Anolis sagrei: one gene and its partners. The protein of the gene in region 2 purifies or fractionates together with the protein of the main gene of each other region. This does not show direct contact. Links are inferred from orthologs where the notes say so. Each region holds a gene or a part of one and is shown on either strand. Other genes may lie near its edges.

The links. The genes of interacting proteins can lie anywhere in the genome.
Region 1: the proteins of L3MBTL2 (region 2) and MGA purify together in Homo sapiens (affinity purification with mass spectrometry; 3 studies listed by BioGRID and IntAct, counting the BioPlex papers as one, with this or other methods). This does not show direct contact. The link is inferred for Anolis sagrei from reciprocal best matches to the Homo sapiens genes L3MBTL2 and MGA.
Region 3: the proteins of L3MBTL2 (region 2) and E2F6 purify together in Homo sapiens (affinity purification with mass spectrometry; 5 studies listed by BioGRID and IntAct, counting the BioPlex papers as one, with this or other methods). This does not show direct contact. The link is inferred for Anolis sagrei from reciprocal best matches to the Homo sapiens genes L3MBTL2 and E2F6.

What each region holds. Positions count from the first base shown.
Region 1 is NC_090021.1:288,160,483-288,167,407, forward strand, and holds the start of MGA (MAX gene-associated protein), read right to left. Parts: upstream 3,020-6,925; 5' UTR 2,798-3,019; intron 1-2,797. UniProt on the Homo sapiens protein: Functions as a dual-specificity transcription factor, regulating the expression of both MAX-network and T-box family target genes. Functions as a repressor or an activator.
Region 2 is NC_090025.1:161,726,520-161,734,379, forward strand, and holds the start of L3MBTL2 (lethal(3)malignant brain tumor-like protein 2), read right to left. Parts: upstream 3,002-7,860; 5' UTR 2,907-3,001; coding exon 2,886-2,906; intron 1-2,885. UniProt on the Homo sapiens protein: Putative Polycomb group (PcG) protein. PcG proteins maintain the transcriptionally repressive state of genes, probably via a modification of chromatin, rendering it heritably changed in its expressibility.
Region 3 is NC_090021.1:130,947,663-130,955,482, reverse strand, and holds the start of E2F6 (transcription factor E2F6), read left to right. Parts: upstream 1-4,801; 5' UTR 4,802-4,816; coding exon 4,817-4,999; intron 5,000-7,820. UniProt on the Homo sapiens protein: Inhibitor of E2F-dependent transcription. Binds DNA cooperatively with DP proteins through the E2 recognition site, 5'-TTTC[CG]CGC-3'. Has a preference for the 5'-TTTCCCGC-3' E2F recognition site.

The sequences.
Region 1 (6,925 bases), on a different chromosome or scaffold from region 2:
TAAAAACTCTGGCATAGACTTTGAGAACTGGGAAGCCCTGGCCCTTGAGCGCTTCAGCTGGAGGTCAGCTTTGACCAGCAGTGCTGCAGAATTTGAAGAGGCACGAATGGAGGGTGAAAGAGAGAAACGTGCCAAGAGGAAGGCGCGTCAAGCCAACCCCAACCGAGACTGCCTTCCACCTGGAAATCAATGCCTTCACTGCAGGAGAAGATGCAGATCAAGAAGAGGACGCCACAGCCACCTAAGGAACCAACAAGAATACTGCCCCGGAAGACTATTCTACTCGGCCAACGAGGGATTGCCTAAGTAAGTGAGCACTCAACATGTATAATTCTGACGCTGATTTTAGCTGTTTTATGCTTTTATTGTATCACAATCTAACTTGTTGCAGTACCATTTTGAAAAACCTGCACATACACTTCTTGTTGTGTGTCTTCAAATAATTTCAAGTCCTTAGATAATGAAATTTCCCCAAGGACATCCAGTGGGTTTCCATAGCTGAGTGAGGATTTGGATCCTGGTTTCCAGAGCCATAGCCCAATGTTCAAACCGTTACAGGACACTGCCTCTCACTCAACATACAGATCATCAGTGGTTTCCAACCTTTGGCCCTTTGGATGTTTTGGACTTTAGATCCCACAATTCCTAATAGGCTGAGATTTCTGGAAGCCCAAACTGTTTGGGATTTCTGGGAGTTGAAGTCCAAAACACAGGAAAGACCAAAGGTTGGGAACCACTGAGATAGATCAATGAATAAAAAAGGTAAAAGTTTCCCCTTGACATCTGTCCGACTCTGGTGGTGGTGCTCATCTCAATTTCTAAGTCGAAGAGCTGGCGTTGTCCATAGACCCCTCTAAGATTATGTGAACGGCATGACTGCATGGAGCACCGTTACCTTCCCGTTTGGGGTGGTCCCTATCAATCTACTCACATTTGCATGTTTTCGAACTGCTAAGTTGGCGGAAGCTGGGCCTAACAGCAGGAGCTCACCCCGCTCCCTGGATTTGAATACTAGTAAGAATATATTATATTGAAATATTAGGATTTTGCTTGATGTTAGTGCTGATCAACAAATATTGTTAACATTTGTTTAAAGTACTTAATAGAAAGAAAGCACATCTGATGAATCCTAAGACTTAACTTTTCACACTTAAGACAAGGTTACAAACAAGTGGTCCCGCAACATGCTTGAAGATGGAGATTCTGAAACAATCCACCAATATTCAGCCAATCAGTGCTTGTGACCTTCTGACCAGGAGTGGTTCCACGCTGCAGAATTAATGCAGTTTTGACACCCATTTAATTGCCTTGACTGAATGCTACAGAATCCTATAAGGCCAGCACAGGCAAACTTTGGCCCTCTGGGTGTTTTGGACTTCAACATCACTATCGGCTGTTAGGAATTGTGGGAGGGACTTGGTGTCCAAACACTCCGAGGGCTGAAGTTTGCCCATGCCTGCTCTAGATCTCCAAGTGTTTTGGAATTCCAAGTCCCTGAAGCCTCAACTGTCTTGGCCAACAATATGGGATTCTGGGACCTGAAGCACAAAACACTTGGAAAAGCGATGTGGTCACAGCCCTGGAAGTCCTAATACAGCATTTCTCAACTTGGGTGTCAGGACCCCGGGGGGGGGGGGGGTTCGAGGGGGTGTCAGAGACCATCAGAAAACACAGTATTTTGTTGGTCATGAGGATTCTGTGTGGGAAGTTTGGCCCAATTCTATCGCTGGTAGGGTTCAGAACACTCTTTGATTGTAGGTGAACTATAAATCCCAACAACTACAACTCCCAAATGTCAAGGTCTATTTTCCCCAAACTAAACCAGTGTTCGCATTTGAGCATATTGAGTATTGGTCCAGATCTATCATTGCTTAAGTCCACAGTGCTCTCTGGATGTAGGTGAATTACAATTCCAGAACTTAAGGTCAATGCCTATCAAACCCTTCCAGTATTTTCTGTTGGTCATGGGAGTTCTGTGTGCCAAGATTGGTTCAATTCTTTCATTGGTGTGGTTCAGAATGCTCTTTGATTGCAGGTTAACTATAAACCCCAGCAACTACCACTCCCAGATGACAAAATTAATCTCCCCAAACCCACCAAATTTGGGCATATAGGGTATTTGTGCCAAAATTGGTCCAGTGAATGAAAATGCATCCTGAATATCAGATATTTACATCACGATTCATAACAGTAGCAAAATCATAGTTATGAAGTAGCAATGAAAATAATGTTATGGTTGGGGGTCACCACAACGTGAGGACCTGAATTATGGGGTTGCGACATTTAGAAGGCTGAGAACCACTGCCTTAAAGCGCCTCCACCCTCGTTTTCTTTTGATTATGTATTTCTTTCCACTGTTCTAGTGGGAAGGAAGCCTTCCGTCCCAAGGAACAACACTTGCTGGCCTCCCTCCCTTCCCCCGCCAGAAGCAGAGCTGCGTGGGGTGATTAGCCGGCGGACTTCAGCCACCAACAGGCCGAGGGAAGGCCTGAGCAAAAGCGCCCGGCGCCCCATAACAAGCCCCGCTCCCCTGGCCCCTCGGAGGCCAACAAGCTTCGAATGGGGAGCGCCCCGCGTGGCGAGATGCGCCTCCATGGCACGCGAGGAAACGACGCGATCACGCCTCCCCCCCCCCCCCAAGGGCCTCCGACAAGGCCCTCGCCCGCGGGTGTCCATTTTTGCCAGCCTCCTCCATAGGCAGGAGATGTGTGCGAGCCACGCGGGAAAATTGCGCGCGAGAGAACCTTTTCCTCCTCCATCCTCCACTCCCGGATTCGCGGCCCCACGCCAGACAGACCTTGTTCGGAGTCTTCCTCGGCGCTTCCCGCCATCCGGGGCCTGTCTCCGTCCCAGTCAGTCCGTCAATCAGTCACCGAGCGAAGCCATGGGCGCGCTCCCCCCCCCCTCCCCTCCTCTCTCCCTTCCCTGTCTTGTTGTGCTCTAGAATCAAATCGTGGAGAGGACAGCGTGCGCACGCACCCACCCATGTGACGTCGCCGGCGCGCGCCTCCCATGCCGCCTGCGCAGAGCCGGCCCCGCGCGCCGCCGCCGCCGCCGCCTCCTCGCCTGCGGGCTGTCACGTGCCCCGGCGCCTCCTTCCTTTCTCTGCTGCTCGGCCACATCCCCCTGCACCCACCTACTCTGCGCATGCGCTTTTCTCCCCCCCCCTCTCTCTCTCCTCTCTCTCAATCTCGCTTTCCTTTCCGCGCATGTTCTGTTCGCTTTTCCTCCTAAAGCTGTAGGCTACGTCGCGGAAGGTTCTGGAATGTTTGGGAGGGGGAGGGGGCGGGGAGTGGCAGTTATTTCCGCTGCTCGCGCGGTAGAGGGCCGCTCCTAACGCCGCCCCCTCCCCTCTTGTGGCCTGAATGGAAAGGGAGCGAGGCGGAGAGGCGCGTGCCCGCTTCTCCCGGAGGCCTCGCCTTGTGCCGCCTGCCTGCCTCGCTCTCGCGGAGCCATTGCGGGGGAGCCGTTGCGTTTCTTCGCGGTGCCTCCAGCCTTCTCTTCAGGCAAGACTGGCGCTTGGGCGTTTTGTCAAGCGCGAAGGCAGTCTCCATTCCCTCGCTTTTCGGCCTTTCTCCTCAGCGTGGCTCCTTCACGCGCGTTCGCGCGCCCCGATGAGAAGGGCTGAGAGAGAGGCAAATAGGACAATGTGTTGTCGAAGGCTTTCATGGCTGTGTGGCCATGTTCCAGAAGCATTCTCTCTCGACGTTTCGCCCACAACTATGCCAGGCATCCTCCAAGTCTGTTGGAAACTAGGCCAGTGAGGTTTATGTATCTGTAAAGGGAATTCCAGACAAGAATCAGTCAGGACAGCTAACACTCCAAACAAAGGATCGCTGCTGAAGAGCCTCCAGAGAAGGAAACTCCCATCATACTTTTTTTTTTTTGGTCGTGTCAGGAGCGACTGGAGAAACTGCAAGTCGCTTCTGGTGTGAGAGAATTGGCCGTCTGCAAGGACATTGCCCAGGGGACGCCTGGATGATTTTATGTTTTTATCATCCTTATGGGAGGCTTCTCTCATGTCCCCGCTCATCCACTTCTCCTCGAATTCGAACCTACAACCTGTCGGTCTTCAGTCCTGCCGGCACACGGGTTTAACCCACTCTGCCACCAGGGGCACCACCCCATCGTACTGCCAGGCAGCCTATGCCACTCTTATTTATTTATTTATTTCATATACTTGTACCCCGCCCTTCTCACCCCCGAGGGGGGACTCAGGGCGGCCTCACAGCAAACACCATTCGGTGCCATCATGATGATAAGAATAATCAACACATTCATTAAAACAAAACATTAAATATTAAATAAAACACGCCAATTAAAACCCAGGTCAATTCATTGTCACTTCAAAATTGCTGATGTCTTCATACAACCCGCTGTTCAATGGTCAAATGCAAGGTCCCACAGCCAAGTCTTGAGTTTTCTTCTAAAGGACAGGAGGGAGGTGGCCAGTCTGATGTCTTTGGGGAGGGAATTCCACAGACAGGGCCTTCTCAACACTTGCTCCCTGTCTGTGACAGGGAGCCACAGTTGAGAAGGCCCTGTCTCTCGTCTCCACCAATCAGGAATTTCTTCCTAATGTTTTCAGTCAAATCTTTTCCCCTGCCTTTTGAAACCATTGCTCCCCTATGCCCTGGTCTCCAGAGCAGCAGAAAGTCAGTTCCCCACTCCCCACCTCAATGGGGCAACCTTTTAAATCTTGAAACATGGTTTTCATGTTCCCTATCCACCTTCTCTTCTCCCAGCTAAACAAAGGACCTCCCCAGACAGCAATCAGCTATGCTTTGAAGCTGCAAGGCCATAATAATAGTTTATTTCTACCCTGCCATCATCTCCCAGAGGGACTCGGGATGGCTCACAGAACACTCAAGGTGTGGCATGCAAAATACAAGTGCAAAACGAAACATAAGACAATAAACAGTCAACACATCATAAATATACAGTATCCCCTAGTAAAAACAATAAAATACAGCAATTGCTATAGATGAGTGGTTCCCAACCTTTTTTTGACCAGGGACCACTTGACTATTGACTATGACCAGGAGCCACTCTCCAACATTAGTACCAAAAGGGTTACAAATCAGTTTTTGATCAACTTAGATTTGGTTTGGTGTGCTGATTCAGAAAATTGTATTGGCTAGACCACATCAGCTCTAGTTCTGATACAGAACATATGCCATGGTCAGAAGCAGGGAGTGGCAGACAGCGCGAAAGAGCGGAAATAAAATAAAGAGGAAGGAGGCTCGCGGACTAGATTTTCATCCTCATGGCCCACTGGTGGGCTGCAACCCACAGGTTAAGAAGCACTGCTGTAGGTAAAGTGGCATATTCAATCTCCGAATTCTAAAGTTCTAATAAAAAAATCTAAAGGTCCTCGTATGTATTATTAAAGAGATTAAACATGGTTTAATAATAAAATAATAATGATAAACTTTATTTATACCCCGCCACCATCTCCCCAATGGGGACTCAGAGCGGCTTACATGGGGCCAAGCCCAGACAACATATTACAGCAAAATAAAACCAAAACATAAACAACAAGCAACATCATCAAAATTACATAAAAAGAAAAAAATGAATACAGTAACAAAATAACATTCCAATAAACACAATCACGATAACAGTGGGCGGGCCACATGTACAGGATAAAAGGGCGAAAGGGATAAAGGAAGGCACATCAAGCCAATTGTTGTCAGGACCACTTTCCATCTGGAAATCTATGTTCTCGCTGCAATTGAACATGCAAATCAGGAATAGGTCTATACAGTCACCTACAGATCCACCATCGAGACCCTACACTTGGAAGGCAATCATACTCAACCACAAATGATAGTCTATGATTTTATTTATTTTTGTGTTAGAAGCAAATTGAGAATACAGTTATAATGTATCAAAGACTACAAAGTTAAAAACTTGGAATTATGCTAAATTTCCTTTGACCAGAAGCTGGCCACTTGTAATGCCTTTGATGTTACTGTAAGAAGGTCCTCCATTGTGCATGTGGCAGGGCTCAGACTGCATTTTAGTAGGTGGTCAGTGGTTTGTTCTTTTCCACACTTGCATGTCGTGGTCTATGATGATGATATCAAAGCATTCAAATTCAACATCCATTACTATAATAACCTGCAGAGCTACAGTTATAAACAATACTGGGCAGCACACATTTTGGCACCTCAAATGTTAGTCCTATTTCTGGGTATATTTAACCTTCTGATTCCAGAAATGGCACCAGTTTCCCCTATACTGTCTGTATTTCAGGTTTTTGAGCTGCAATATATGCCATCTACCAGTTGCCATGATAACCATATTGAAGAAATTAGAGCTGATGTGGCTATCCAATGCAATTTTCTGAAACAGTGCCCCAGTTTTTAGGAACAGGCCTAAAAATCGAGGTACCAAGAATTATTATTCTTTGTTGTGTTATAAGTGTTTTTATGTGGAGAAATGTGTGCCTGAGGTGATTGCTCTCTATTCATCTCATTCCAAGGAATAATGGGAACAGCCCATATCTTGCCTTTGTTTAACCTCTTCCACAAACTTTATCAAGATCAGGCAGTGATAATGTTTCATAACTGCTTTACAACTGAATAAACTACCACAAAAGCCAAGAGCATGTGTGCAGTTATGAACCTCATGTTTTAATATTTGTTTCAGTGAAAAAGGAAGAGGTATAAGGCTTGAAAAGGAACATCTTGACCATTCATTTACAAAGGAAGGTGCCATCTCTTAGTTCTGTAACATCACATTGGTTGCTCTTTTTTGGGTTTTTTTTTTTTTGCAGATATTTGCAGCAAAGGCCTGTAATGAAGAGCTTTCCACCCAAAAAAAGGAATAGAAAGAAAGATAAAGGTGCTCTTAACAGTAATACTGGATCTAGAACATGAGGTGTTTTGAAAGGACCACTATCTTGAATTTAGCCATCCTC
Region 2 (7,860 bases):
CTTTGGATAGCATAAGAAAGGGCTAACATCCCTGTGGAGTTAGTTTTGCTGCCTGTGCCCTGTTCGTAAGATTTCACCTCACTTCTGCCCCTGTGATAATCAAGATTTTGAAAAATTTGGCTTGTTGTGGAAACAAGGTTAGGTGAGAAAGCTTTAGTGAAGACACCTTTTCCCCATGATAACTCGTTTAGGAATGAATTTCCCTTCCGAGGAGTAGATTTTTCTCACTTCCTGTTGTCTCATTCCCATTCTTAACTATGAGTCGCTTGTAAGTTGGATGTTTGTAACTTGGGGACTGACTGTATAAAATGTTTATTAAATATAAATAAAATTCCTTTTAAGCCATGGGTCCCATCTTCAAGATATTATGTATGTGTATGGAAATATGGATATTCCAAAATAAAAAAAAATGAAATCCAAAACATTCCGTTTTCCAAGAATTTTAGATAAGGGATACTCAATCTATACAAGCTTTTAAAAATGCAAATATCTTCACTAGGTCAAACAAAAATTAAGCATGCATGCAAAGGCAGAGAGAGGAACTTATTTCATCTTAAACTAGGACTTTATTTTATCAGCGATAATGTTCCCATTAACTGAAGACAAATTATCCAAACTGATTTTTTTTACTTGCTTTGACTTAGTAATAATAATAATAATAATAATAAGTTTATTTGTACCCTGCCACCATCTCCCCGAAGGGACTTGGATTGGCTCACAGAAGCACTGTGAAGTGCCGTATATAAAACAACAATACACAAGCATATAAACAACAATATAAGTCTAAGAACAACGAACACACATAAAAAACCCATCTCAAAAAATTGTAAAATTTATAAAACGCAGTAGAACTTATCCCCAAATATGTATCTGGAGATTAAAGACACTGTGATCTTCACAGTAGATAAAGGCAAATGTTAAGTTCTCAAATGATCTCTTTATATTATCAAATGGAGAAATAAATGTTATTGTCATTCTCCTTAAAGACTATATATATGCGATGAATAAACTTTTGCCTTGGTTTTCACAGAATTTTGAGATTTTTAGTTTGGCCCCAAAAAGCTATTACAGGTTGAGTATCCATTATCAAAAATGCTTAAAATCAGAAGTGTTTTGGATTACTGATTTGGATTTTGGTATACTGTAGACTCTATTACCTGGAACTCAAGCAACCGGCAATAAATAAAGAAATAAATCCAATAATAGTGAATTCACAAATCTGTTTTTACAATACTGTACAGTAAAACTGTGTTACATTGAGCTTGTATTTATTTACTTTTAATTACTGTATTTCAATAATATTGGAGCCCCTGGTGGCACAATGGGTTAAACCCTTGTGCAGGCAGGACTGCCGACTGAAAGGTTGGCGGTTCAAATCTGGGGAGTGGGGCAAGCTCCTGTCTGCTAGCTCCAGCTTCCCATGTGGGGGACAAGAGAGAAGCCTCCCACAGGATGGTAAAACATCTGGGTGTCCCCTGGGCAACATCCTTGCAGACGGGCAATTCTCTCACACTAGAAGCAACTTGCAATTTCTCAAGTCGCTACTGACATGAAAAAAATTAATATCAAGTCAATACAGAGTTTTTGGTATGGCACAGTGTGGGATATAACAGGCATGGACAAACTTTGGCCCTCTAGGTCTTTTGGACTTCCAGCAACTCCCATAGGGCCGAAGCTTGACTATGCCTGACATCTTTGCTTTGCTTTGCAAAGATCCCAGGCATGGGCAAGCTTTGGCCCTCCGGCCCTCCACCAGACTTGAAGCGATGTTCCTCCGCTATCAACTCCGCTGGACCAGCCACGTTGTCCGGATGCCTGACCACCGCCTCCCAAAGCAGTTGCTCTACTCCGAACTCAAGGAAAACAGAATGTTGGAGGACAGGAAAAGAGATTGAAAGATGGGCTCAAAGCCAACCTTAAAAACTCTGGCATAGACACCAAGAACTGGGAAGCCCTGGCCCTTGAGCGCTTCAGCTGGAGGTCAGCTGTGACCAGCAGTGCTGTAGAATTTGAAGAGGCACGAATGGAGGGCGAAAGAGAAACGTGCCAAGAGGAAGGCGCGTCAAGCCAACCCCGACCGGGACCACCTTCCACCTGGAAACCAATGCCCTCACTGCGGGAGAAGATGCAAGTCAAGAATAGGGCTCCACAGTCACCTATGGACCCACTGCCAGAACACTGAACTTGGAGGACCATCATTCTCGGACTATGAAGGATCGCCTAAGTAAGTAAGAAGTAGTGCCTGGAATATAGTATTCATTAGGCCTGTTTTTAATAGTCTCAAACAACCACTGAATTTACCTGGTCTTAATGGAGAACCTGCTGTATTTGCATAAACGTAAAGAGACAATCTAGGGCCCTTCCACACATCCATGCAACCCAGGATATCTAGACAGGAAATTCCACAATATTTGCTTTGAACTGGGTTATCCGAGTCCACACTGCCATATAATTCCATTCAAAGCAGATATTGTGGGATTTCCTGCCTTGATATTATGGGTTATATGGCTGTGTTGAACGGCCCTTTGAGATGGGACCTAGGCCTAAGCAAGAGATTTCATACTGAAGGCGATTTTATGCACAATATTTGTAATAATTTTTGCATGAAAACATACTTTGTGTATCCACAATCACAGGGAAGCAAAGGAGTCCCCGGCTCATCCACTCGTGTTGAGTATTTTTGGATTTCCAGGCGAGGGATGCTCACTCAACTCGTAGCACAAACCTCTCTGCCTTTTTGTGACATTCCCTTTGGCCAAGGAACACGCAACACGGAAAGCACCGCCAATGCTTTCCCTAGGGATTCATTGAGGAGGACGGAAGCTGCCTCTCGCTTCTCCACCTCGCACCAATTTCCCACAACAGCAGCAGCAGGCTTGCTTTACCTCGCTTTCATCCCGCTCCATGGCTTTCTTCCGCCCCCTCTGCAGAGAAGCGGGTACTATTTACCTCAGGCACCAAAGCAGCGCGAGCGCGAGTGCGAGCGCGCACGAGCGCTTGCGCATGCGCCCCCCGACTCGCGGGAGGCACGAGCCGCCGCCAGGAGTCAGGGCAGCTTCGCGGTCCTCGAAAGCCCATTGGCTTAGGCGCGTTCTCGCTTCCGCCAATGGGAAGAGAGGATCGGCGGTGGCAGCGGAAACACTCCGAGGGAGGGAGGAAGCCACACGCCCGCTGCCCCAAAGCATTTCGGGAGTTGTATTCCTGACCTCGCTAAAGGTTGAAGAGACGTTTGGAGGATGTCCAAGCAATTTGGTTTTGGCCCTTGAAAGGAAAACGGTCATGGTCCCTCAGTTCTGTTGTATGAGAATGGCTCCAAAGGGGGCAAAGGGAGGGAGGGAAAGGTCACCTGGACTTTGTGTTCCGGCTTCATTGGCTTCGTATTCACGACATAGACAAACAAACAGCGAGGGCAGGCTGCATTAACTTGCCATTATTAACTCCCCTTTCTGAGGGAGAGGCTTGGCCAGGCCTGAATCCCTCCCCATTGTGTGTTGTTGTTCATTCGTTCAGTCGTCTCCGACTCTTCGTGACCTCATGGACCAGCCCACGCCAGAGCTCCCTGTCGGCCGTTACCACCCCCAGCTCCCTCAAGGTCAGTCCAGTCACTTCAAGGATGCCATCCATCCATCTTGCCCTTGGTCGGCCCCTCTTCCTTTTGCCTTCCACTTTCCCCAGCATAATTGTCTTCTCTAGGCTTTCCTGTCTCCTCATGATGTGGCCAAAGTACTTCAGCTTTGTCTCTAGTATCTTTCCCTCCAGTGAGCAGTCGGGCTTTATTTCCTGGAGGATGGACTGGTTGGATCTTCTCGCAGTCCAAGGCACTCTCAGAACTTTCCTCCAACACCACAGCTCAAAAGCATCGATCTTCCTTCGCTCAGCCTTCCCTAAGGTCCAGCTCTCACATCCGTAGGTGACTACAGGGAATACCATGGCTTGGACTAGGCGGATCTTTGTTGCAAGTCTGATGTCTCTACTCTTCACTATTTTATCGAGACTGGACATTGCTCTTCTCCCAAGAAGTAAGCGTCTTCTGATTTCCTGGCTACAGTCTGCATCTGCAGTAATCTTTGCACCTAGAAATACAAAGTCTGCCACGGCCTCCACGGTTTCTCCCTCTATTTTCCAGTTGTCAATCATTCTTGTTGCCATAATCTTGGTTTTTTTGACGTTTAGCTGCAACCCGGCTTTTGCGCTTTCTTCTTTCACCTTGATTAGAAGGCTCCTCAGCTCCTCCTCGCTTTCGGCCATCAGAGTGGTGTCATCTGCATATCTGAGGTTGTTAATGTTTCTTCCAGCAATTTTCACCCCAGCTTTGCATTCATCCAGCCCCGCACATCGCATGATGTGTTCTGCATACAAGTTAAAAAGGTTGGGTGAGAGTATGCAGCCTTGCCGGACGCCTTTCCCAATCTTGAACCAGTCTGTTGTTCCGTGGTCAGTTCTGACTGTTGCTACTTGGTCCTTGTACAGATTCCTCAGGAGAGAGACAAGGTGGCTTGGTATGCCCATCCCACCAAGAACTTGCCACAATTTATTATGATCCACACAGTCAAAGGCTTTAGAATAGTCAATGAAGCAGAAGTAGATGTTTTTCTGAAACTCCCTGCCTTTCTCCATTATCCAGCGGATATTGGCAATCTGGTCTCTCGTTCCTCTGCCTTTTCTAAACCCAGCTTGAACATCTGGCAACTCTCGCTCCATGTATTGCTGGAGTCTTCCTTGCAGGATCTTGAGCATTACCTTACTGGCATGAGAAATAAGGGCCACTGTACGGAAGTTGGAGCAGTCTTTCGCATTTCCCTTTTTTGGTATGGGGATATAAGTTGATTTTTTCCAGTCTGATGGCCATTCTTGTGTTTTCCATATTTGCTGGCAAATGGCATGCATCACCTTGACAGCATCATCTTTTAAGATTTTAAACAGTTCAGCTGGGATCCCATCATCTCCTGCTGCCTTGTTGTTAGCAATGCTTCTTAAGGCCCATTCAACCTCACTCCTCAGGATGTCTGGTTCTAATTCATTCACCACACCGTCAAAGCTATCCTCGATATTGTTATCCTTCCTATACAGATCTTCTGTATAGTCTCGCCACCTTCTCTTGATCTCTTCAGCTTCTGTTAGGTCCCTGCCATCTTTGTTTCTTATCATACCAATTTTTGCCTGAAATTTACCTCCAATGTTTCTAATTTTCTGGAAGAGGTCTCTTGTCCTTCCTATTCTGTTGTCTTCTTCCACTTCCATGCATTGCTTATTTAAAAATAGTTCCTTATCTCTTCTGGCTAACCTCTGGAATTGCGCATTTAACTGGGCATATCTCCCCTTTTCACTGTTTCCTTTTGCTTTCCTCCTTTCTTGGGCTACTTCCAGTGTTTCAGCAGACAACCATTTTGCCTTCTTCGGTTTCTTTTTCTTTGGAACGTACTTTGTTGCCACCTCCTGAACAATGTCGCGGACTTCTGTCCATAGTTCTTCTGGGACTCTGTTTACTAAATCTAGTCCTTCAAATCTGTTCTTCACTTCCACTGTATATTCGCTAGGAATGTTAGTGAGATCATATCTAACTGGTCTGTGTATTTTACCTGATCTCTTTAGTTTTATTCTAAATTGGGCAATAAGAAGTTCGTGATCTGAGCTACAGTCAGCCCCAGGTCTTGTTTTCACCGACTGGATGGATGTCCGCCACCTTTGGCTGCAAAGGATGTAGTCAATCTGATTTCGGTGTTGACCATCTGGTGAGGTCCATGTATAAAGCCGTCTTTTAGGTTGTTGGAAGAGAGTATTCGTTATACACAGCGAGTTTTCCTGGCAGAATTCTATCAGCCTGCGTCCCGCTTCATTTTGTTCTCCCAGACCATGCTTGCCTGTGATCCCAGTTGTCATTTGACTTCCCACCTTGGCATTCCAGTCTCCTGTAATGAAAATAATGTCTCTTTTTGGTGTATTATCCAGTAGGTCCTGCAGATCCTCATAGAACTGATCTACTTCTGCTTCTTCAGCAGCTGTGGTTGGGGCGTATATTTGGATCACTGTGATGTTGAAAGGCTTTCCTTGCACTCGAATTGACATCATTCTGTCATTTTTTGGGTTGTATCCAAGCACCGCTTTAGCGAATTTCTTATTAATTATGAAGGCTACTCCATTTCTTCGATGTTCCTCTTGTCCGCAGTAGTAGATCTGGTGGTCATCTGATGTGAAGTGGCCCATTCCAGTCCATTTCAGTTCGCTGACCCCCAGAATGTCTATCTTTAGTCTTGACATCTCACCAATAACAACATCCAATTTGCCCTGGCTCATAGATCTTACATTCCAGGTTCCTATGGTGTGTTGATCTTTAGAGCATCGGATTCGTCGTTCGCCTCCAGTACCGTCGGCCGCTAGCCTTCCTTTCGGCTTTGAGCTAGCTGCGTCATCACATCTGGGGCTAGTTGAACTTATCCTCTGCTCCTCCCCAGTAGCATTTTGGCCATCTTCCGACCTGGGAGTCCCATCTTCCAATGGCATACCGACATATCTCTGGTTGTACTGGTCCATTTAGTTTTCTTGGCAAGGATACTGGAGTGGTTTGCCATTGCCTTCCCCAGGGATCACGCTTGGTCTGACCTCTCTGCCACAACCGTCCCGTCTTGGGTGGCCCTTCACGGTTTCGCTCATGACATCATTGAGGTGCTCAAGCTCCAGCGCCCCGACAAGGCGGCGATCCTTTGCTGGAGCCCCATTGTGTAGGGCTCATTTAATCCTAATCATAATATGTGGACAATATTGGGTTTTGGAATATTTGGATCTTTAGATAACAGATTAGCAAAGAGTTATACACAGGTTATATAAATAAACTAGCTGTCCCCTGCCACGCGTTGCTGTGGCCCAGTCTGGTGATCTGAAAAATAAAGTAAAGAGAAAGTGTTGGTTTCTGATTTACGAGGGGTATTTTTTAAGTAAGGTCCGTTTGAACGTAAGTACACAACGAAAGTTTATTTCAAAAAAGTAAATTTATTTTCAGAAAGTACATACTTCACTCTATTTTTCGACATAGTTGCCAAGTTTAGGACACTAGGACACTAAGATCATCTGGGGAGGCCCTGCTCTCGGTCCCACCTGCATCACAGGTGCGCTTGGCGGGGACGAGAGACAGGGCCTTCTCAGTGGTGGCCCCTCGGCTGTGGCACGCCCTGCCTGCAGATATCAGATTGGCCCCCTCCCTGCTGGCATTTCGGAGGAAAGTGAAGACCTGGCTGTTCGAACAAGCATTTGATTAAACAGTGTTATTGAACATAGGAATATGGAATAATGGATGACAAGACTGGATTCTGATTTTACTGTTGAGGCGCTAATGATTGTTATACTGATGTTAATGATTTATGTGATAATTGTTTTTAATTGCCCTATACTTGTTTTGTGATATTTTGTACTGATGTTGTTCACCGCTTTGAGTCGCCTGAGGGCTGAGAAAAGCGGTATAGAAATAAAGTAAATAAATAAATAATAAATAATAAATAAGTTTGTTCAAACACTTATCATACCTCTGAACCAATTTTAAAATACCCTCTTCATAAAAACTTGCCACCTGCTCCGATAACCAAGAGCTCACTGTAATCAAAGAAGGGCGACCGGAGCAGTCCTCATCATGGACGTCACGGCCATCTTTGAATTGTCGTACCCACTTACGCACTTTGTTTTCACTCATAACGGTATCACCATACACTTCACAAATCTGTCGATGAATTTCTGCAGCAGGCAGGTTCTTTGCTGACAAAAACCGTATCACTGAGTGAACCTCACATGCGGAGGGTGAGTTGATAGTCTCAAACATTTTAAAAGCACAGAACAGAACCGTACAGGTTAGATACAGAGCGGAAACTGAGC
Region 3 (7,820 bases), on a different chromosome or scaffold from region 2:
GAAGGAATATGCAAACCATGCATAGAAGAGTACAATTCTTAGCTACCACTTCAAAAGAAAAAATTGAATAGTTTAAAAGCAATACCTTAGCTAACTTTACTCTGGACAGTGACACAATGAAGACATCTGTCCTTGCACTTTGCTACTCTGCTGCTGAATACGCATGCCCAGTGTGGAATACATCGCACCACGTTAAAACAGTGGATGTGGCTCTTAATGAGACATGCCGCATTATCACAGGATGTCTACATCCTACACCACTGGAGAAATTATACTGTTTAGCCGGTATTTCATCACCTGACAACCATTGATAAGTACCAGACTGTAATGAAAGAAATAAGACATTGCCATCTCCAGCCCATCCTCTGTTCGGATATCAACCATGCCAACACCTTAACTCGTGAAATAGCTTTCTAAGCTCTACAGAGATAGTAGGAAGAACATCTCGGCAAGCAAGAGTCCAAAAGTGGCAGGCTAAAACCCAGAACCTCAATAAGTGGCTAAGATTGGATAAGAGACTCCCTCCTGGGCACACTGAAGACTGGACAACTTTATTTATTATTTATTTATTTACTTTACTTATATACCGCTGTTCTCAGCCCAGGGGCAACTTTGAAGGCACTGAACAGGCTGTGCTCTGGCACCACGAGATGCAGAGCCAACCTTAAGAAATGGGGCTATAAAGTGGAGTCCACAACATGCAAGTGGAGAGAAGAGCAAACCACAGACCACTTACTACAATGCAGTCTGAGCCCTGCCACATGCACAATGGAGGATCAATAGAAACTTTCTAAAGCATGGTTTCATGGCCATCAGGAACTTCTTCATTGTCAACTGAAATTCATAATTGTGCTATGCTTTGAATGTCTGTCATTTTTCAGTTCCAAAGATGGGACAGATACATTTGTAAATTAATTTATCATGCTTTCCACATCTTGCATGGCCAAATGATAAAGCAATCCTCCTTGTTTAGCAGCTCAAGCATAAATCTTTTTTTTTACATTATTGATGGTGAGCAACCAGCCCTGAAGTCTTTTGTGTATGTTTCAGTTCACAGATGATTGCCAGAAATATTGCCATAAATCACAAGATAAATTGTGTGTCATTCATGCGTTTACATGTCATGTTAGCCATCATTCAACAAAATCTCTGCCGTGCAATATGTCTGACAGGAAATTAACAACGAGGAGATGGAGCGTTGCTTTAACACATCATGGCTCACATTAAATCAATGTGTCCGTGATGAACAATAATGATAAATAATAATACTAGCTATTTTGTATTAGTAATTTAATTTTAGCAATTTGACATCAGAAATGGAGTGAAAATACAAGCAAAACTACTTCAGAGGCCCCATCTACATTGGCATATAATGCAATTTGGAACTGCATTATATGGACAGTGTAGACCAGGCATGGGCAAACTTTGGCCCTCCGGGTGTTTTGGACTTCAACTCGCACCATTCCTAACAGCCTCAGGCCCTTTCATTCCCTTCTCAGCCACTTAAGCCCAGTTGGGAGGTGTTAGCTGGCCCTGATTATTTCATGTCAGGAATTTTCCTGTTGTTCCCCTGTTGACACAGCATATTATTTGAGAACACAGAAATGCTGGACCACTCTAGCAACCACCATGTCAGACTAGAAAGAGAAACCATTGAAATCCACAAGCATTTCAATAGAATGGAGGAAGCCATGAACATGAACAAAATCTGGCTACCAGTATTTAAAAAAACTTGAAAATCAGAACAGTCAATAAAGAGCAACACTCAGAGGAATTCCTGACATGAAATAATCAAAGCCAGCTAACATCTCCCAACAAAGGATTTCCCAGGCAGGAATCAGTCAGTCTTTGAAGCTGCAAGGCCACCCAATGCTAATCAAGGTGGCCAGTTGCAACATTCACACTTGCCTCAAGCAGACAAGCGTTCTTTCTCCCACCCTAAACCTCACTTGCCTAGTTTCCAACAGACCTCACAACTTCTGAGGACGCCTGCCATAGATGTGGGTGAAATGTCAGAAGAGAATGCTTCTGGAACATGGCTATACAGCCTGGAAAACTCACAGCAACCCTATATTGAATTGGTTGAGATTTGATGCGATAAGCATTGAAAAACTAGAGCAAATGTGATGCAGGAAGTCCTACAGGGACAAAAATTTCAGTTTAATAAACTTTTTCCATGTTTTATGAATGAACCAATTAGGAAACGACATTTATAACATAGGAACAAAAATTTTGTTACCTAGTGTTATGACAATCTTAGGAAATAACATTGCTGCCCTCTGGTGGACAATAAGGAAGAAACAACTTGAACTAACTGAAAGCCACTGATGATCATCTACGTTAGACTTATAATTTTTTTTCTTGTCAGGAGCAACTTGAGAAACTGCAAGTTGCTTCTGGTGTGAGATAATTGGCTGTCTGCAAAGACGTTGTGCAGTTTTTGATGTTTTTGATGTTCTACCATCCTTGTGGGAGACTTCTCTCATGTCCCCACATGGGGAGCTGGAGCTGAAAGAGGGAGCTCATCCATGCTATCCCCAGATTCGAATCTGTGACCTGTTGGTCTTCAATCCTGCTGGCACAAGGGTTTAACCCACTGCACCACTGGGGGCTCCTTACACACTATAGTTATAGTGCTATTATTCCACTTTAACTGACATGAGACAATTCCATAAAATTCAGTCTTTGCATTTAGTGGGGCCCAAGAACACTCCAGTATTCTATAGGCAAGGACCGAACAGAAGCTGAAGAGATCAAGAGAAGGTGGCAGATCTGTATAAAAAGGATAATAGTATTGAGGATAACTTTGACGGTGTGGTGAGTGAAATAGAACCAAACATCCTGAGAGGTGAGGTTGAATGGGTCTTAAGAAGCATTGCTAATAACAAGGCAGCAGGAGATGACGAGATCCCAGCTGAACTGTTTAAAATCTTGAAAGAGGATGCTGTCAAGGTGATGCACGTATGCCATATGCCAGCAAATATGGAAAGCACAAGAATTGACATCAGATTGGAAAAAATCAATTTATATCCCCATACCAAAAAAGGCAAACACTAAAGATGCCCAAGCTTGTTGTGAGGTCTGTTAGAAACTAGGAATATTGGGTTTATATATCAATGGAATAGTAAAAGCATAGTAAAAGCAATGGTATTCCCTGTATGGATGTGAGAGCTGGACCATAGGAAAGGCTGAGCAAAGGAAGAGAGATGCTTTTGGACTGTGGTGCTGGAGGAAAGTTTGAGAGTGCCTTGGACTGCCAGAAGATGCAACCAATCCATACTTCAGGAAATAAAGCCCGACCGCTCACTGGAGGGAAGGATAGTAGAGGCCAAGATGCAGTATTTTGGACACATCATGAGAAGAAAGGAAAGCTTGGAGAAGAGAATGTTGCTGGGAAAAATGGAAGGGAAAAGGAAGAGGGGCCGACCAAGGGCAAGATGGATGGATGGCATCCTTGAAGTGACTGGATTGACATTGAAGGAGCTGAGAGCTCTGCTGTGAGCTGGTCCATTCATTCAGTAGGAAGCAACTGAACAAATTAACAACTTATCAGTAGAAAATCCAGGGTGGGAGAAAGAACTCTTGTCTGTTGGAGCTAGCTATGAATGTTTCAAAGGACCATTAGCATTTGATGGCCTGAAAGTTTTTAAGTGTGACTTGTTACTGCCTGGGGGAATCCTTTGTTGAGAGGTGATTAGCTGTCTCTGATTGTTTCCTGACTAGAGTTTCCCTGTGTTTGAGATTTGTTCTTTATTTACTTTTATAATTGAATTAGTCTTCCCCTGCCAGGCGTTGCTGTGGCCCAGTCTGGTGATCTGGAAAATGAAGTAATGAGAAAGTGTTGGATTGTAATATATATAATTTATTGCTGCTTGTGGGTAAACAGTATTTCTTGCTGTTTCTTTGTCAGTGTTGATGTAGAGATTGTCAGGTTTGCCTACACAGAAACAGGCAACATATCATTGTCCTTTTTTTTCAAATCTAGGATACTATATCTCTGTGTGTGTCAATCATATGTATCTATATCTATGGTTGGGTGGCTCTTTGTCAGGAGGGTTTTGATTACATTTTCTTGCCATGGTGAAGGGAGTTGGACTGGATGGCCTTATGTATTTTTTGTTGGTCATGGGGGTTCTGTGTGGGAAGTTTGGTTCAATTCTATCATTGGTGGGGTTCAGAATGCTTTAATTTAGGTGAACTATAAATCCCAACAACTACAACTCCCAAATGACAAAATCATATTTTTTTAGTGATGGTCACTCTTTGGCCTGATACGTGTTGTGTCCAAATTTGGTGTCAATTCGTCCAGTGGGTTTTGAATTATGTTAATCCCACAAACGGACATTACATTTATATTTATATAGATGTGAATGTTGCAAATGGCCACCTTGATTAGCACTGCAGCTGCAAAGACTGGCTGATTCCTGCCTGGGGAATCCTTTGTTGGGAGGTGTTAGCTGGCCTTGATTGTTTCATGTCAGGAATTCCCCTGAGTGTTGCTCTTTATTGACTGTCCTGATTTTAGAGTTTTTTTAAATACTGGTAGCCAGATTTTGTTCATTTTCATGGTTTTCTCCTTTGTGTTGAAATTGATCCCATGCTTGTGGATTTCAATAGCATCTCTGTGTATCCTGACATGCTGGTTGAGGCTGGTCCAGCACTTCTGTGTTCTCAAATAATATGCTGTGCCCAGGTTGGCTGATTAGGTGCTCTGCTATGGCTGACTTCTCTGGTTGGCTTAGTCTGTTCCTTGATTCAGGTTGGGGCAACGCTGCGTTTGGTAGTCCCTATGGAGGATTCTCAGTCTCTGTCCAACATGGAGAGCTGGCGGGGATGGGGAAGCCACTGGAGGCGGGCCCTGCTGGCTGCCTCTGCCTCGTCACCCGCGGCTCCTCCTCCCATCAGAGGAGGAAAAGGAAGAGGAGGAGGAAGAGGCTGGGCCAGGATGGCGGCCCCGGTCTCGCCCGAGAGCTTGGAGGAGTCGCTGGACTGGCAGGAAGTGAGTCTTCCCTCTTGGCTGGGTTGCTTAGAAGCGCCTCTCCTTTGGCAGGGTCTGGGAATTTTTCCTGGGTGGGAGAAAAGCCACAAAGAGGAAAGGAGGAGGGGAAATCTCTTTCTCTGGACCTAGCCTGAAAACAACCAGGACGAGGCCGGGCTCTTTCCTTTTGGGTGCTCACTCCACCCTGGCATTGTGCGTAGACACCTCCAAGGTCATGTGGCCAGCATGACTGCACTTGGAGGCACTCTTCCCTTTTCTGGCTTGGAGGGGAAAGGGGGAAAGAGCACACCCATCTGCAACTCCCAGGGCCTTGAGCCATAAAGCAGGGCCAGACTGCCTCAATTCCACAGTGTAGATGGGCCTAAGGGGCTTTCCACACAGCTGTAGACAATCCCACATTATCTGCTTTGAACTGGGATATATGGCAGCGTGGACTCAGGCCCCTTCCACACAGCTGTATACAACCCCACAGTATTTGCTTTGAACTGGGTTAGGAAAAGGTAAAGCTTTTTCCCTGACATGACATCCAGTCGTGTCCATCTCTCAAGTGTGGTGCTCATCTCCATTTCTGAGCCAAAGAGCCAGCATTGTCCATAGACACCTCCAAGGTCATGTGGCCATAGGCATGACTGCATGGAGCACCATTACCTTCCCACCGGAGCGATATTTATTGATCTACTCACATTTGCATGTTTTTGATCTGCTAGTTTGGCAGAAGCTGGGGCTGACAGCGGAAGCTCACGCTGTTCCTGGGATTCAAATCTGTGACCTTTCAGTCAACAAGCTCATCAGCTCAGCGCTTTAGCCCACTGTGCCACCAGGGGCTCCTTGAACTGGATTATATGGACTCAAATAACTCAATTCAAAGCAGATATTGTGGGTTATCTGCCTTGATATTCAGGGATATAGGGCTGTGTGGAAGGGCCCTCAGATAACCCAGTTCAAAGCAGGTATTGTGGGATCTTCTGCTTTGATATGGCTGTGTGGAAGGGCCGTAAACAAACACAATATAGTCTATGCAGTATAGCATATAGTGACACCAAAACCCCCAATTCACTGTCACTATATCCTATACAGTGTTCCCTCACTACTTCACGGTTCGGTTTCAGCAGGCTCGCTGTTTTGCAGTTTTCAAAAAATATTAATTTAAAATATATATCGCAGGGTGTTTGTTTGTTTGTTTGTTTTTTTGCTGTTTTGTGGGTTTTTGTTGCTGCTGCTCTCCAAGGCGCTTTCCCTCCTCAGTCCTCCCTCCAGCCTTGAAGGGCCTTTCCTTCCTTTCCTTCACTTTTTTTAAGTGTATAAAGACTTAAAATAGCATATAACTCCTAAAATAATGTATAAATATTAAGATAAATAGCAAGTCCCTACATCACAGTTTTTCACTTATTGCGGGAGGTCCTGGAACGTAACACCCACAGTAAGTGAAGGAACACTGTATGGTCATTACAGTTCTCCTATTGCATTGACTATATTGTGTTTGTTTACCTACCTTACAAGTATTCTGGGATATTGCTGAATGGAAGGGCCCCCAGAATATCAAGGCAGGTAATCCACAATATCTGCTTTGAACTGGGTTGTCTCAGTCCTCGCTACCATATAGAGTTGGAAGAGGCCTTGTGGGCCATCCAGCCCAACCCCCCGCCAAGAAGCAGGAAAATTGCATTCAAAGCAGCCCAGACAGATGGCCATCCAGCCTCTGCTGGAATATATGGCAGTGTGGCCTCAGATAACCCACTTCAAAGCAGATATTGTGGGATGTTCTTTCTTGATATTCTGAGATATATGGCTGTGTGGAAGGGCCCTTAGTTTCTTCATTATTTGTGTTCTGCTTTTCTGTCATGTATGTTTAGAAAGCTAGAACACGAAAGGTCTATAGCTATGTATTTATATACAAGAAGCTAGATCTCCTCGCTTTTTACTACCTTTGTGGAGGACCTTTTTGTCCACTTTTCCTGCCAGCGTTCCTATCTCTTTTGTTGGAGGAATTATTTCAAGAGCAAACATTGTTACAGATTATCCATAAAGCCTTTGTACCAATATCCCCTGTATCAGCGTTGAGTCTCATTCAAAAGTGGAGATATAAATAACACTATGTAGCAAAACTTGAAAAATATATTTTCCAGGTTGGAAAGTGTTATTCCCAGTTTAATTGTGCAGAACTTAGTTTGAAAATAGTTGTTCTACTCCAGAAACTTTGTTTTTTGTGGCTGCCATAAATTATGTTGAATTGGGTGAGACTTGAGATATCCATTGAAAAACTATAGCAGGATGTCCCGCAAAGATGTTTTTGTTTTTGTAGTTTAACAAACTTTTTCAATGTTTTTAATGATACAACCCACTTTGAAAGTGACATTTATAACCCAGGAACAAAAATTATGTTACATAGTGTAATAGCATGATTATGTCACATTTGTTACAGGATGAGCATTTTGGACACATGGGCCCCTTCCACACATCTGAATAAAATCCCACATTATCTACTTTGAACTAGAATATATGGCAGTGTGGACTCAGATAACCCAGTTCAAAGCAGTGATTTTCTGCCTTGATATTCTGGTTTATATGACTGCCTAGAAGGGTCCACAGATGCTTTCACACTTATTTGCTTATTTATTTATTTACAGTATTTATATTCTACCCTTCTCACCCCATAGGGGACTCAGGGTGGATTACAATTCACATATACATGGCAAACATTCAATGCTATTAGACATTCAACATATATAGATAGACACAGAGGCAATTTAACATTCCAGCTTTCCAGCTTCATGAGGGTATGCTCGATTTTGGCCACAGCGGGAGCTTCCACTTTACCATC